Oryza sativa Japonica Group: one gene and its partner. The protein of the gene in region 1 interacts with the protein of each later gene in a biochemical or structural test. Links are inferred from orthologs where the notes say so. Each region holds a gene or a part of one and is shown in the gene's direction. Other genes may lie near its edges. The genes, in order: B3 domain-containing protein VP1 and E3 ubiquitin-protein ligase AIP2.

Region 1 (7,951 bases):
TGAAATAGCAAGATCTAGGTAACGAAAATTCAACATTTCAAACTGAGCGTGCTGATGACGGGGGTAATTTGCGCGCATTTGACTTCTCTACCATAAGCAAAACGATCGATGGAACTACATCTCTAACGCAAAGCGGTCAATGCTCCCTATTCAATCAAACGTGTCTGGACAAAAAGATCCAGCATTTCCAGAAGGTTAAACTACCAACATCGGGTAACCAACGACTACGTCTATCGCAAGCAACAGACATACCAGCTTCTTCCCCGCGTGGAGATCCTTCTTCCGCGAGGACGACGACGACGCCGCACCGGCGGCGGCGGAGGACGACGACACCTGCGCCGACGCCATGGCTGGCCACACCCCCCAGCTCCCTCCCTCCCACCCAACCACCAAACCCAATCCAAATCTCGGCGAGATCCCCTCCTCCTACTCCTCCTCCTCCTCCTCCTCCCGGGAATCGCCGGCCGCGGTGCAGCCGCCGATTCGATCGGAGGCCCCCCGGGGAGAGGGGGCGAGATCTGGCCGAGGAGGGAGGTCGGATTTGGAATTGGGATTTGGGGGTGGATTTTTGGGGGATTCGCGCTGCTCTCCGAAATCTCTCGCGCTCGGCCCTCCACCCCACCCAAGTATTTGGGCCTCAATTCGCCCCCGCTTCGCTTCTTCTTCTTTTTTTGGTGCGTGCTGCTTCGTGGCGGAGGGGTCGCTGTGGAGTCCGACCGGTTTTGGGTTTTCCTGCTGTTGCGTCGTCGCGGTCGCGGGTGGTTTCCTCGCTGGGATGATCCGACGGCTTGGCTTCCGCCACGTCCCACTGATCTACGGCTTTGCCAGCAGCTAGTGCTTCTGTGGTACGACGCCATGAGTCGATGATGTAGTTTGGTCTCCAGTGAAAGGAATTAGGAGTACCTCCTCTGTTTATTCTAACACGAATGATACAGTTACGCTATTTTCAATTATCTTACTAAAATTATATAATTATTATTTTATTTTATTACAAACTTTTATTACGATATATTATGAATAACTTTAATTTGTTATATACATAATAAAATCAAATATATATCTAAGATTTAACAACATCGCATATATATATATATGTATATATATGTATATATATATATATCGAGATAGATGGAGTATATGCGTTAATCTTGTTGTAGGGTTTAATTTCCATGATCAAAGAAAGTTAGTACATTTTTTTATGGGGATAGTAGAAAATTTTATATGTCATTGAAAATATTTTCCAGATTTATTCGTGAATCCAAAACACGAGCCAAATCTTGTGTCTTTTTATTAGTGTGTGTCTTTCAGTGAACCATAAGCCTATATACTCATAGCAAAATTGTTTTATCGAAACACCGTGCGTACGTGTATAGATGTAGTCATGGGTGTACTTCGAAAAATACATGGTGGTGAACCATTGTAAGGTTATGACCTTACCTCGGATCAATGAATCACAAAGAGCCAAAATGTTGTTGCAGCCTCTTGTATTTATATACGTCCGCACGTAATATAAGTTGTTGGGAGATAAGAAAGTTGTATTGTGGTTACAACGTGTCCATCTTCTTTTAATGCATGAAGTCACCACATATTGATATGTTCATGGTACAATGCTACATGGCTACGCTCAAATAGATTGCGCGCTACAAACCCTGTGGCCGAGCATCGAAGTCATCAATCATGAATATATCACAATGCAAATGATAATTGCAGTATAGATTATCATGAATCAAAATTCATGCAACTACACTTTTAAATCGAAATTTGTATCAATCATGACTAAAGTATAGTAGTATTCCAATGTTGCAAACCGGTATTTTCCAATCGAATGGTCAGTGTATAAATGATGTGATATATATTAATCCGATTGTCTAAAATTATTTGAGATGATGACATGGCTGAGTTATATACATAAGTTTACAAGTATCCCTCATATATCAAAATCTATAAATATTTTTTTACAAAATCACTTATTCAATATATATGCATGTGGTTTGCTACGGGTTTAGTTGTGTTTTGATAGTTACTTTTTATAAATATGCACAATGGACGTGGCGGTATTAACTCTTCAAAATAACCTTGTTGTCATAGTAATATGAAAGTTATGCCAAAACAACATAGGGGAAACACTCAACCTACCATATCGCTCAAATGATTGTTGACCTGTAACACCCAACGACCTTTATTTACAGTTGCTATCGAATAGTAAAATACATATTATCGATAATATAGATTGAGAATAGTAAAATACTAATTAAAAATGATTTGTAAATTGCACAACGCATGGAATATATTTGATGTTCAAATCCAATTATTGAATTAGACAATGTATTGGATGTGAGTCAAGAGCTTCGATGCTTCATTCCCTCGAAAGGATACGATATGCTTGAGCGAACAATTAATAATGAAAGATACATGCATATCGTCATCTTGATATAAATAATATTTTAGAGAGATATATATCGTTCAATGACCCAAAATTTACAATTGTTTTTGTTTGCATCCATGAATCAATATATCAATTGATTCCACGGATATTGAAAAGGACACGTAGTCGTAAATGTGTATTATAGATTTATTGGCTCATTTTAAAGTACAAACTTGCAAAAAAAAAATAAAATCCTTGGATGATGTCGCATGGGTTATTTGGGTGCTCCTCATCACTAAGGACACCAAAGAAAACATATTTTTTAATCTGATTTTGGGGGCCTGTCTGTCATTTTCAAATGCATTTGTTGCGAAGCAAACAAGCAAAGAGAAAGTGGAAATTTGCTCTTACCCCTGCAAAACATGTATCCTACCTAGCCGCATCCTCCGATCGAACAAGACAAAGCAAATGCTCCACCCACAGTTCCACACGCAACGGCCAGAACAAGATCACGTATGCCATGGCATTGCCATGCCTCTGCTTAGCGCTTACGCTTCCCGGCTGCTGGTGATCGATCGAGCTGGGCCGTTCGCTGCATGTGTTCACACGGGCCACCTCCACTGCAACCAATGGTAAAATCCCACGTCATCGTAACCAAGGTGCGACCCACACCTCCACGTCATCATCTCCAGCTCGTGTAGGTTTCGTACGTGCGCGTAGAAAAAACGCACCCCATATTCCTAATCCAGACAGCACACAGGTCTCCTCCCGAAGATGGCGTCCGTTCGATCACGCGGTGGTTCGGATCGGACGGCTCGGAAACACCGGACGCGTAGCCCCTTAGTCGGCGCGGACGCGACACGGACATCCTACGGCGCGCATAAATCGCTACGCGCACACGACCCTACCACTCTATGGTTTTCCTTTTGGGTCCCACATGTCATTGGACCACAGGCAAGAACGCTCCTCTCCCTCCCCCTCTGCCGCGGCGGTCAAAACCAGCACGCGCCGAAATCCCGTACTTCCCACTGACACGTAGGCCCCACTGTCATTGACCGTTACAACTCAGGAAAAAAAAGGGGAACCCCACCCACCAGAAACGCAGCCCCCAGCAATGATAAGTGGGCCCAGAGGAAATGTGGGGCCCACGGGTCAGTGGGACGTGGCCGTGCCGTGCGGGGGGCGAAAGGTACGGTCGCTGAGGAGAGGCTGGCGTGGGCGGTGGAGCGCTTCCCACAGCCCTCGGCGGCCGCCACGTGTGGGCCGCAGCCGCATCTCTTCTCTCTCTACTCTCCCACCCTCCACCTCCCGCTGCTTCTCCTGTTCGTCTCCTTTCTCAGTAACTGCACCCACCTCCACACCTACACGCACACAGACAAACAAAGCCAAACCCCCCGCCTCGCCTACATCTCGCGCTCTCCGCCCCCCGCCCGCCTCCACTCTGCATGGACGCCTCCGCCGGCTCGTCGGCGCCGCACTCGCACGGGAACCCGGGGAAGCAGGGTGGCGGCGGCGGCGGCGGCGGCGGACGGGGGAAGGCCCCGGCGGCGGAGATCAGGGGTGAGGCGGCGAGGGATGACGTCTTTTTCGCTGACGATACCTTCCCGTTGCTCCCGGACTTCCCGTGCCTTTCTTCCCCGTCAAGCTCAACCTTCTCGTCGTCGTCGTCGTCGAACTCGTCCAGCGCTTTCACCACCGCGGCGGGAGGGGGTTGCGGCGGTGAGCCGTCCGAGCCGGCCTCGGCGGCGGACGGGTTTGGTGAGCTCGCCGACATAGACCAGCTCCTCGACCTCGCGTCGCTGTCCGTCCCGTGGGAGGCCGAGCAGCCGCTGTTCCCGGACGACGTTGGCATGATGATAGAGGACGCCATGTCCGGGCAACCGCATCAGGCGGACGACTGTACCGGCGACGGCGATACGAAGGCGGTGATGGAGGCGGCCGGGGGAGGAGACGACGCCGGCGACGCATGCATGGAGGGGAGTGATGCGCCCGACGATCTGCCGGCGTTCTTCATGGAGTGGCTCACGAGCAACCGTGAGTACATCTCCGCCGACGACCTCCGCAGCATCCGCCTCCGCCGATCCACCATCGAGGCGGCGGCCGCGCGGCTCGGCGGCGGGCGCCAGGGCACCATGCAGCTGCTCAAGCTCATCCTCACCTGGGTGCAGAACCACCACCTCCAGAAGAAGCGCCCCCGCACGGCGATTGACGACGGCGCCGCGTCGTCGGACCCTCAGCTCCCCAGCCCCGGCGCAAACCCCGGCTACGAGTTCCCCTCCGGTGGCCAGGAGATGGGCTCCGCCGCCGCCACATCCTGGATGCCCTACCAGGCCTTCACGCCGCCAGCCGCGTACGGCGGCGACGCCATGTACCCAGGCGCCGCCGGCCCGTTCCCTTTCCAGCAGAGCTGCAGCAAGAGCAGCGTGGTCGTGAGCAGCCAGCCGTTCTCCCCGCCGACCGCGGCGGCGGCGGGCGACATGCATGCGTCGGGCGGAGGGAACATGGCCTGGCCGCAGCAATTCGCGCCGTTCCCCGTCTCCTCCACGAGCTCCTACACCATGCCGTCGGTCGTGCCACCGCCGTTCACCGCCGGATTCCCCGGGCAGTACTCCGGCGGCCACGCCATGTGCTCTCCACGCCTCGCCGGAGTCGAGCCGTCCTCGACAAAGGAGGCCCGGAAGAAGCGGATGGCGAGGCAGCGCCGCCTCTCCTGCCTGCAGCAGCAACGTAGCCAGCAGCTCAACCTGAGCCAGATCCACATCTCCGGCCATCCACAGGAGCCCTCCCCTCGCGCCGCGCACTCGGCGCCGGTCACCCCGTCGTCGGCCGGCTGCCGGAGCTGGGGCATCTGGCCGCCGGCGGCCCAGATCATCCAGAATCCCCTATCAAACAAGCCCAATCCTCCTCCCGCCACGTCGAAGCAGCCGAAACCCTCGCCGGAGAAACCGAAGCCGAAGCCGCAGGCGGCGGCGACGGCCGGAGCGGAGAGCCTTCAGCGCTCGACGGCTTCAGAGAAGCGGCAGGTGTGCATGCATGCAGACGATTGACATCAATCGCTATCCACCATAGCTAGGATCTCACGCGAGTGAGAACTCGATTCTCCTCCTCACACACACTCCACACACTCAAAACTCACTCACTCACATCGCTGTCCAGGGATAGAATCTCCAATATTTATCAACCTAGCTAATTAAACGGCATCGATTGGATTGCTGCAGGCGAAGACGGACAAGAACCTGCGGTTCCTGCTGCAGAAGGTGCTGAAGCAGAGCGACGTCGGGAGCCTCGGCCGCATCGTGCTCCCCAAAGTGAGACAGTCACCACCATCTCGAACACCTTCTCCTTCCAAATCCACTACCCCACTTGGCACAAATCCATTCCATGGAAGGATCCCACTTGCACACACTCACATACTTGATGTTTCTCCCCTAATCAAAGACGGAATTTGCCTGAACCTTCTCTTCACATTTCCGATCATGGTAGAACTAAAAAGTCTCCCCTTTCTTGATCTGTGGATGGTTTCAGAAGGAAGCAGAGGTTCACCTGCCGGAGCTGAAGACGAGGGATGGTGTCTCCATCCCCATGGAAGACATCGGGACGTCTCAGGTGTGGAACATGCGGTACCGGTGAGTAATCAACATTCGATCGAAGCATCAAGCATGATTTGGGATTGCTTATTAAGCTTGTTTAAGTCCACTTGCTTCTTTGTTAATTGGGAGGGGATAGAAACCTCTGAACCAGAAATAGTAAATGACTATGGGATGGTCCCTTTCCCAATTGGGCAAGTGGGTCATACGAACATATCATTGGAATCTGGGAGTCAAATAGGAGCATGCATTCATCGTGTTCTATGTTGATGCTCAAGTGCATACAACAAAAAAATAAAAGTGATCTTTTCCTGCTGTTTTCAGTACTAACATTATGCATATGATTTTTGCTGGTTCTGCTGAGCTCATGTTTTTGATTAATTAATTTAATTATTTCCATTGGCAATATTATATATGCACAAGTTATTCGAATACATGATGGCTTAGATTTTGATTCACTGACATTAATGGATATTGATTTTCATGAACACAGGTTTTGGCCCAACAACAAAAGCAGGATGTATCTTCTCGAAAACACAGGTGAATAGCAAACTTTTGAATTATTCAAATTTTACAGTCACAAGCCATGCCAATAACTTCCATCCTTAATTTGTGGCTCTCAAGTATTGTTGATTAATCGTTGTCATATGTTTTTTCAGGTGATTTTGTTCGTTCAAACGAGCTGCAGGAGGGTGATTTCATTGTGATCTACTCCGATATCAAGTCAGGCAAATATGTAATGTTCATCCATCATTGCCCTTCCCACTTCTTTCGAGTACTCTTTAACTCAACTCAGTTGGATGTGATTTTGAGTGCCAATAAGCTATATATAGTTGCTGCATGCCACTGTTTGTCTTTAATTCGGATGACCAGTTTGGCAGTATCTTTGTTTATGGAGTACTTCTGTTAATTTCTGCAAGCAGCAGCTAATTAATTATTAACCGTAATCTTAATTTATCTCTTAATTATTAGCAGCTGATACGTGGTGTGAAGGTGAGGCGCGCGGCGCAGGAGCAAGGCAACTCGTCGGGGGCGGTAGGTAAGCATAAGCATGGCTCGCCGGAGAAACCCGGCGTCTCGTCCAATACAAAGGCCGCCGGCGCCGAGGACGGCACCGGCGGCGATGACAGTGCCGAAGCCGCAGCGGCGGCGGCGGCAGGCAAGGCTGACGGCGGCGGCTGCAAGGGCAAGTCCCCGCACGGCGTGCGGCGTTCTCGCCAGGAGGCCGCCGCCGCCGCCTCCATGAGCCAGATGGCGGTTAGCATCTGAAGAAACAGATGACAGCAGCAGCAGCAAGCTTCAGTCCATTTGAAGGTTAATTATTAGCTAGCTAGCTCCGTATTATAACCGATGGTAAAACCTCCTAAAAAAATTAATTAAGTTGTGCATGTGAATCGTAGCGCTAGCTAGGGATGATATTTGATCAGTAACCCGTAGTCCCCGTACCAGTGACGCTTAAGTACGCATGGTTTGGTTGTTCATCGTTGAACCCCTGTAGTGTGTCGTCGTCCTGTACATGCATCGAATTATGGAATTAATTAATTACCTTAATCGTCGTGTCCATTGCGGCTAACAAGCAGACATAGGATCATGTTTTTAATATAGTTACTACCTTTTTTTTTTTTCTTTCTGCGTGGTTAGCCGAGCATCTGGTTAGGATTTACATGCATATTTTGTGTGGATCTACTAATACTAGCACATAAAAAAACCCATCTCGGCTAGCTAGAGTATATAGTATTAATTTCGGCATTTCGGCTGCATATGCTATCAAAAACATTGACCATCCCTGCATGCATGTGTCTAGAATATTACAAGCCTGCACATGCATGCATGGCCAAATTTCCATGGACCAAGGATGCATGATCTCATCATGACCCGCCCAAGCTGTTTGAGTTTGACTAACCCCTTGCACAGGTTAATTGATTCCTGGTGGTGCATCTCTCCACCTAGCAAGATTCTTGATCTGGACGAAATTAACCAAGCTAAAGTAAAAGAGTAG
Region 2 (7,967 bases), on another chromosome or scaffold:
CAGCCACAGCCGTAGCCGTCGCAGTCGGCCTGCCAAACAAGCCCCATATTCAGATTCATTATATTAGGATATGTCACATCCAACCAAAGCCCCTTATATTTAGAGACGGAGGGAGTAGTCAATAATCAATCGAGAAAACAAATCAATGCTCTTGATCCTAGGAAATCAATCGGAGTAACAAAGTTCACAAATGGTTTACAAAACCAATGGTAATCGTGCTTACCATCGAGTATAAGTAAAGATAAAACCACAATAGCCACACCAAATTCAGATAAATTTCAAATATAATTTAAATTTTTAATTTGATATGATTTCTTACAGTTTGCTGCGGTTACCGACGATAACATACTTATTGTCGGGACGAGGTAACTCCATCCCGACGGCAAGGAAAAACATACCCTTATTCCATTCGCTACTTGGTCTTGTTGGCATACGTCTATTCATATACGCAGTTGATAATTTAAATGGGGGACTCTGAAATTCGGGAGCCTGTACTGTCCCATACTTCACTCGTCCTTGTAGATGGGCCTAAATGACGCTTGAAATTATGGAAAAATAATACTCACCATAATGTAAGGTAGGAGTGGTTCATAGTACAGTAGTACTATTTTCACAAGACTGGTAGTTCAAAGAATGGTAGGGACTAGGGAGACGATGAATCGCTGAACCGAACAAACCTCTTCCTACTTTTGCCGCTAACATAAGACCCGGTCATCCGAGAAAATCGTCCCACCTCATTCATTTTAACCACAAATTTTGACAATTTGACACTTTGCAAAAACTATTTTTACAAATGAACTGCTGCCAAAACTTATTTCAAATATGACCCTTTTGCTCAACGCCAAATCATGTGGCGCTGAATTTAGACACCTCAGAGCCACGTCAGCTAGTGCTGAATGCCGTGCCACGACGGATGGGAGACTAAATCAGCGTGTAAACGTACATTCAGCGTCATGCTATTTGGTGCTGAGGTGTTTAAGTTCAGCGTCACACGATTTGGCGTTGAGCAAAAGGGTCAGATTTAAAATAAGTTTTGGCAGCGGTTCATTTGTAAAAATAGTTTTTGCAAAGGGTCAAATTGTCAAAAATTATGCATTTTAACGGTCTTCAGATTTTACATGGACATGGTCATACGAGAAGTAGGTGTCAAAGTACATAGGCCCATCTTTTTCTCGCCCCAATCGTAACTTCAATTTTACGAAGATGAACAGATAAAGAGAAAGCGACGAGATCGGTGAGACGGGACCTCATCACAAATCATACAGCCCGTGAGGACGGACGGACGCGCGGTTGAGCGAATCAAAGCTCATCCGCAGCAGAGCGAGTGGCACTGTGGCATGTACAGGCCTACAGTGTACAGGAGAGAGAGAGGAGGTTGAGGCGATCTCTGCGGCTCCCGTTATTACACGCGTGTGTCCTGTCCCCTAGCAGCGGTGCGGGCGACTTCCTTTCGTTGCGGCGACGCGACGCGCGGTGGGATGATACTGGGACGGTGGTTTTGTGTTGTGCCGCGGACAGAAGAACCGCGGCGATATTGCGGCGGCCGAGCCTGGGCAGGGGCTAGGGTGGTAGTAGTACGAGTAGTTCGTGGGCTGTTTTGCCGACTTCGGTTTTGCCGTGCCGCCGCAGCGCGCGCGCGGGGAGGCGGCAACGGCGATAGCCCCTGGTCTCGGTCGCCCGCCGCCACACCCGCGGTCACGCACCAAATTGCGGCGCCACGCGCCCAGCACACGCGGCTACGGGGAGGGGACGGGAAAAGGTTGTGCCGAGTGCCGACGCCTGTGGGGGAATATCTCGATTTGACTCTCCTAAACATATAATCTAATTTATATCCTTGAAGCACAATACCGAACATCTTAATCTTTTAACTATTAAAACATGTATAATTTAACTTACTTATCGATTTTGGAGAGCGGCTTATGTCATTCTCACTCTTCCCTTTTATCTCTCTCCTCCTTATCTCCCTTCGGCCCCTCCTATCTAACTCTCCTGCACTACCAGCGCCACTACCTCCACTGCACCGCCAGCGCCACTACCGCCACTCCCCCATCTGCCACTTGCGAAGGATGGCCTAGATCCAGGTGCCTGTGGAGGAGTCGACGACAGACATTGCCAAATCGGGGTCATCAAGCCCGCCGAGCTCTTCCTTGGCTGTTGATCTACATTGACTTTTGCGCCGACCTGCTCCATCACGTCGCCTCTCATAAGTCATAACTGGACTAGCGCACTGCCGTCGGCTGTATCTTCATCTCCTGAGCTCCGCGCTATTCTCCGTCCTGACGACTAGCCACCGTCTTCGCCATGGGGACCCCGCCACTGCCCAGGGAGCGTTGTCTCATCCTCGGATCCACGCCATCTCTCTTGACCAGCCGAGCGCACCGTCATCAGGCTACATCTCCATCCCTCAAGCTCCGCGCCGTTCTCCATCCCAACGACCGCTCGCCGTTTTCGTCGTGGGGTCCCCTCCCCTCCCACCGTCTAGGGAGAACCATCTCCTCGGATCCATGCCCGGGCCTCCACCCTCGTCAGCTCTGTTGACACAGTGATAAAAGTGGAGAAAGTGTGTGGAATAGAGAAGGAGAGGAAGAGAGAGGGGGAGTATGACAAGTGGGTCCCCACTTTATTTTTTAATTTTTTTTTCTGATGACTAGTATGAGACGTGAATGCCAACGCTCTCAATACTGTCCTAGGAGTAAAATTGCACCGTTTTAAAATAGTTGGAGGGGTTTTCAAAATATCCGGTATCGCGGTTGAGTGACATACGAATTGAATTTTACCCATAATTGAGGGGCCCGACTTATTCCCGCACGTGGCCGTAATGTTGGTCCGTCAGTTACACTGGGCCTCTCTGCTGTGTTTCGGGGTCGCGAGGGCCGTCGATGGACGGCCCAGTAGGCCAGTGCTGAAGGCCCACACAGTTTCCCCGATTCCCCACCCGTCACGGCGCCGTCTGCAGTAAACGGCAAAGTCCTCCCCTCCGTCTCCGTGTCCGTCGACACGCCGCCACCGCCACGGGGGTTGGGGATTTCTTTCCCCTCCTCCAAGCCAAGCCGGACGCGGACGCCACCGCCCTCGCCTTCACCTCCATTTATACCTCCGGCGAGCGCCGCGGCGGCGGCGACGCACGCATCCTTCCTTCCTCCTCCCGCACCACCGGCGACCGGTAAAACGGAGAGACCCGTGGGCGAGCTTGTTCGAGGCGGGGCACCACCACCATGTCGGCCCCCGCGGCGGTGGAGCAGCGGCTGCAGGCGCTGCGGCAGAAGCTGGGGAGGAAGCAGCACTTCGAGGAGGCCGTCGCCGACCTCGCCGCCGCGGTCCGGGACCACCACGCCGCCGCCTCCCCCGCCCTCCGCGATCTGGTAAATGAGGCCGACCTCCCCTAGCCAGCGCCCCCCCCCCCCCTCTCTCACCTCACGTTACTTCCCGATTTCCTTTCGTTGCGGCCTGGGTTAGGTCCAACGTCGCCGCCGCTGTGGTAATGATGAATCTAGGTTCGATTGGTCCGGTAATGGAGTAGAATTCTTACTCTAAAGTCATCATCAATGGGCAGAAGAAATTAAAATGATCTTCTCTGGGATTGTTAATCCTATTAAAATGATCTTCTCTGGGATTGTTAATCCTATGAAAATGATCTTCTCTGGGATTGTTAGTCCTGTCGTGTCAGTAAGGAACACGTCCTTAGAATAACTCATCTCATCCCAACGAAATTGTTCCTTTTCTTTTCTCCAAGTAGCTTGATATCTAAATTTATAACAAGAGGCTAAACGTTACAAGTAAATACCAATCAAAATGCAGTGAAATCAGTACGTACCCATCAAAATTTACATATTCTTCAAGCTAGCATGGAGCATGGTTAAATTCAAAGCAAGCAATAAAAAGAATCTGCCGGAGTAGTAGTTTATTATAATCCAATGAATCGGCTTGGTAAGATGTGACGTTAACGTTAACATCGCCCAATTCACGGGAATCAAGAAACCGAAATAACGATCACCATGAACGATTGGAATTATTTGTAGACAGAAGTAGCGATGAGTGACAGAGTAATCTGGCTCAGGTGTTTCCTGTGGCTTTATGCACACTCAATCGAGCAAATGAGGAATGACATACATGGACAGAACTATGCTAACAAAAGTGATTTCCTTGGATAATACTAATCCTTTTGTTTCATTATCTTCTGATGAAGTAATCCTGTTAATGTAAAAACTTCTGATTTTTTTAAGTTAAGGTTAACTTCTGATGCTGATGCTTTTTTAGTTAAGGTCGTCCTCAGGGATTCCATTTTTGTGTACCAGTATACCACACCCCTACAATCAGTTGTTTGGATTAGCATTCTTTTCCATACTCTACCTTCATTAATATCATCCATCATATCGACATATATAATGCTCATTTAGCACAATCTTTTGTTCTTTGGCAGATGTATTCTACAGTTTGCCGTGTGGCAACTGTCCTTCAGACTAGATATACAGCACCTGGATTCTGGCGTGCTGGTCTGAACCTCTTCTTAGGTACAGAGAAGCTGGTAACTAATCCTTCAGAAAAGGAGCAACTGAAGACTTTCATTCTGAGGGCCCGGGAGCATCTTGATGAGAAAGAGAACGAGGAATCCATGCCAAACAACAGGGAAACAGGTATGTCATTAATAATTGAATAGGATGATGTGACATTCATAGACACATCTGCATACTTAGATTGGCTATACTCTAATGATTATTCTGGAGGCAACCTGTGATGCATATGCAATTAAATTTATTTCTTGGTGAAATTGATAAACATAGGAGTTCTTCAAGTACATATTTGTCTGCAGTGTATTTTGGTGAAATAAACTTTCCTTAAAATATTCACCCTTATAAATATCTATTTGCTAAGAAGATGTAAACTTTTTTTTCCAGATACAAGATTTCTTTTTGAAGGGCATCTTACAGTGGGACCTGAACCTCCACCTCCTGCCTGGCTTGTTGCCCAGAATTTAGCACGAGAACTTAGCATTTTAGCTGAACCTTCTGGAGATCAAGGTGCGAACAACAACGGAGAGTCCAGGGCTGAGGAGATGGCACCTGCTGCTGCTATAATGAATTTCTTAAACACCATGACAGTGGATGGAGACCTAGAAGCCGCTTTGGAAGAATCTCTGCAGGTAAGAAAGAACAATTCTTGAGAGAATCAATTTATTTGGTATACTTATTTCATTATTTTTTCAGCCCTGAACTTCTATGTTAGTTTCTTGTTGCACTTTTGCACACTGCAAACTGGAGTAGTATCCAAACTGTGCACAACCATAGGCTTTTGGCCCATGTTAGGTGCTATAGAGAAACAAGCAAATTTGATAAATTTGTTGAATGTCTTGATCAGTGGTTTGTAAAATGATTTTTCAATTACTAGTCTGCTGCGCATTCAAGTGCTGATCAAGTTGCTAAAAGTGGAGCTCATCATGCTTTGATGCATGCCAAATTTCTTCATGTTATTATGTTATTGCAATTATCAACTTGGTTTAGACCCACATTCTCAAATTTATATAAGCTTGTCACTTGCTACAACGAGAAGGATATACTTGTATCTCTTATGATTGTCTAGTAACCACCACTGAAATTCTTCGAAAATGGAAAGCCCGCATTTCATCATTTTGTCATTCAGTTCAATAGGGTAACAAGATTTGCATATTGTTATGGATCTTGAATTTGGAACTACTATTTTCAGAATGTGATGGCGAATCCTAAGGTGCCTCCAGCTTCAAAGGAAGTCGTTGCGAATCTACCAGTTGTAACCGTGACAGAAGAAATCATAGCTAGATTGGGCAAAGAGACTCAGTGTGCTGTTTGCCGGGAGAGCTTGCTGGTGGACGACAAGATGCAGGAGCTACCGTGCAAGCATCTTTTCCACCCTCCATGCCTCAAGCCATGGCTGGTAATGTCCACATAACCCCTTTGAATCATCTGAAAGTAGCCTCGACGCATCGTTACAACTCGGTGTAGCTGAACATTATACCCATCATGGTTGTGTTGTGTTGCACGCAGGACGAGAACAACTCCTGCCCGATCTGCCGGCACGAGCTGAGGACGGACGACCATGTGTACGAGAGCCGGAAGGAGCGGGAGCGAGAAGAGGAGGAAGACAGGAAGGGCGCCGCGAATGCTGTCAGGGGTGGGGAGTTCATGTATGTCTGAACATCTGAATTTCAACCGAACGTGATTATCTCTCTGTAACGATTTCCTGAAATTCAGAGTGCACTGGAGTTGAAAATTCATGTACAAACAACGTTTGCTTCGGTTCACCACCGTATCTTCGTTGAATGATACTACCACTATACAGCCAGCTTATTACAGCATCATTGTTCGTTGATGTGCATGTGATGAAGTACTTGAGTTGAGACATTGTTATTCTTTTATTCCCTTTTTACACACAGTATTCAGTCGCGTTAGTCTCCTTCGAATATGGGGGTGGTGAGATAACGGATGACGCTGATGATAACTATTCGATGATACAAATGAATAAACTAAGCATTGTAAAGTTAAATTTTATTTTAACAAGGTTTCCTAAAGAAATAGAGGACTAAGATTTTTTTTAAGAGAGATTGTACCGTCGAGATTGAACAAACGCGAACTATATTACTACTGTAGCCGTTCTACGAGCTTAGTAGCACTCAGAGTTTCCTAAACCGTCGGGACCGGGGTTACCACGCGGTAACCGTGAACCGTTCAAAATTTATCAAAAATTTAAATTATTTTTTAAATTTATTTAAATTTAAAGAGGTTACTGCGGTATTTCTATTACCGTACCTCGGCGATAAGACCGGTAACCATGGTAACCGCATCGTTTATCAGTAATGTAAAACCTGGTAGTAGTAGCCTAGCAGAGTAGGTTGTGTTGGTGGTCACTTGAAAAATTGCGATTCCATGGGCTGATGCCCTTACGTGGGCCCACCACCCACCCCTGACGAGTGGGGCCCACCAGGCAGCGACCCCATCACACGTGAGAAGTCCAGTCCACAGCTCGCTCCATCGCTGCGATTTGCAACACGGCGAGACGGATCAAACGGGCGCCTGCCCCCACGAACTAGACAAGCAGCAGGTCAAGCACCCAACCCAAAATCCCAGAGAAAAACACACAAACAAAAACAACATACAACTGCACACACCCTGCCGATGCAGCGAACGTGTCCAAATAAATTAAAAATCCCCCAATCGATCAATATACGCTGCACCACACCACATACTCAAAAGAAAGAAAAGAAATCCCCCCAATCCCCATTTCCAGCGAAATCTAATCTAATCATCTAAAAATTCCCTTCCCTTCCCTTCCGTCCGAGCCAGAGCAGTAGTAGTAGTAGAAGTAATGAGGAAAAGAAAACGAAAAGCGCCAAGAAAACAACGCACCAACACATCCACAGCAGCAGCAGCAGCAGCAAGCATCATCGGCTCAGGCTTCATCAGGAGAATAGGTTAGATGTGAGAGGAAGGAAAAAAATCCGAGGAAAAGTCTCGAGCCCACCCCCCACATCTCCACTGCTGCAGCTTTGCTTGCTCGAGAGAAAGAAAGAGAGAAAGAAAATAAAATAAAAATCTCTCACAAATCTCTCTCTCGCAGCCGTCAAAATCCAATCTTGGCGCATCCCCGGCCGCCTACTGTTCTCGCCCCCCCTCTCTGGTAATAATTGTCAGGCTGGTGGTTGGTTTGCTGCTGCTAATAATCGAGTCTTTTCCTCCCAAGGAGAGGCGTTCAATTTCTTGGTCAGGATTTGTGGAGGTTTTTCTTGGATTCATTTCGTCATCTCGTCGCGGAGCCAAAGCTTTTGGTTTTTTTTTTTCCTTTGGTTGGTCTTGGCTCGATCGGGATGGATGCGGGGTGGGTTGGGCTCGCGTCCAATTCGCCTCCACCACCACAAGTACGCTTCTTTTTTATTGTTTCCGGAGTGGGGATTGTAGAGAGCTATTTCGGCAATCGCTAGGGCTCCGTGTGTGTTCTCT

The links.
Region 2: the proteins of B3 domain-containing protein VP1 (region 1) and E3 ubiquitin-protein ligase AIP2 form a complex in vitro, tested with the Arabidopsis thaliana proteins (2 studies listed by BioGRID, with this or other methods). The link is inferred for Oryza sativa Japonica Group from reciprocal best matches to the Arabidopsis thaliana genes ABI3 and AIP2.

What each region holds. Positions count from the first base shown.
Region 1 is NC_089035.1:40,357,249-40,365,199, reverse strand, and holds B3 domain-containing protein VP1, read left to right. Parts: upstream 1-3,700; 5' UTR 3,701-3,810; coding exon 3,811-5,388; intron 5,389-5,583; coding exon 5,584-5,673; intron 5,674-5,890; coding exon of another isoform or gene 5,891-5,893; coding exon 5,894-5,991; intron 5,992-6,445; coding exon 6,446-6,492; intron 6,493-6,611; coding exon 6,612-6,688; intron 6,689-6,924; coding exon 6,925-7,221; 3' UTR 7,222-7,514; downstream 7,515-7,951. Other genes in the region: protein BLISTER, read right to left, coding at 253-348. UniProt on the Arabidopsis thaliana protein: Participates in abscisic acid-regulated gene expression during seed development. Regulates the transcription of SGR1 and SGR2 that are involved in leaf and embryo degreening.
Region 2 is NC_089043.1:20,322,539-20,330,505, reverse strand, and holds E3 ubiquitin-protein ligase AIP2, read left to right. Parts: upstream 1-3,056; 5' UTR 3,057-3,215; coding exon 3,216-3,362; intron 3,363-4,420; coding exon 4,421-4,634; intron 4,635-4,895; coding exon 4,896-5,140; intron 5,141-5,700; coding exon 5,701-5,907; intron 5,908-6,017; coding exon 6,018-6,167; 3' UTR 6,168-6,328; downstream 6,329-7,967. UniProt on the Arabidopsis thaliana protein: E3 ubiquitin-protein ligase that acts as a negative regulator of abscisic acid (ABA) signaling. Mediates ubiquitination and subsequent proteasomal degradation of the transcription factor ABI3.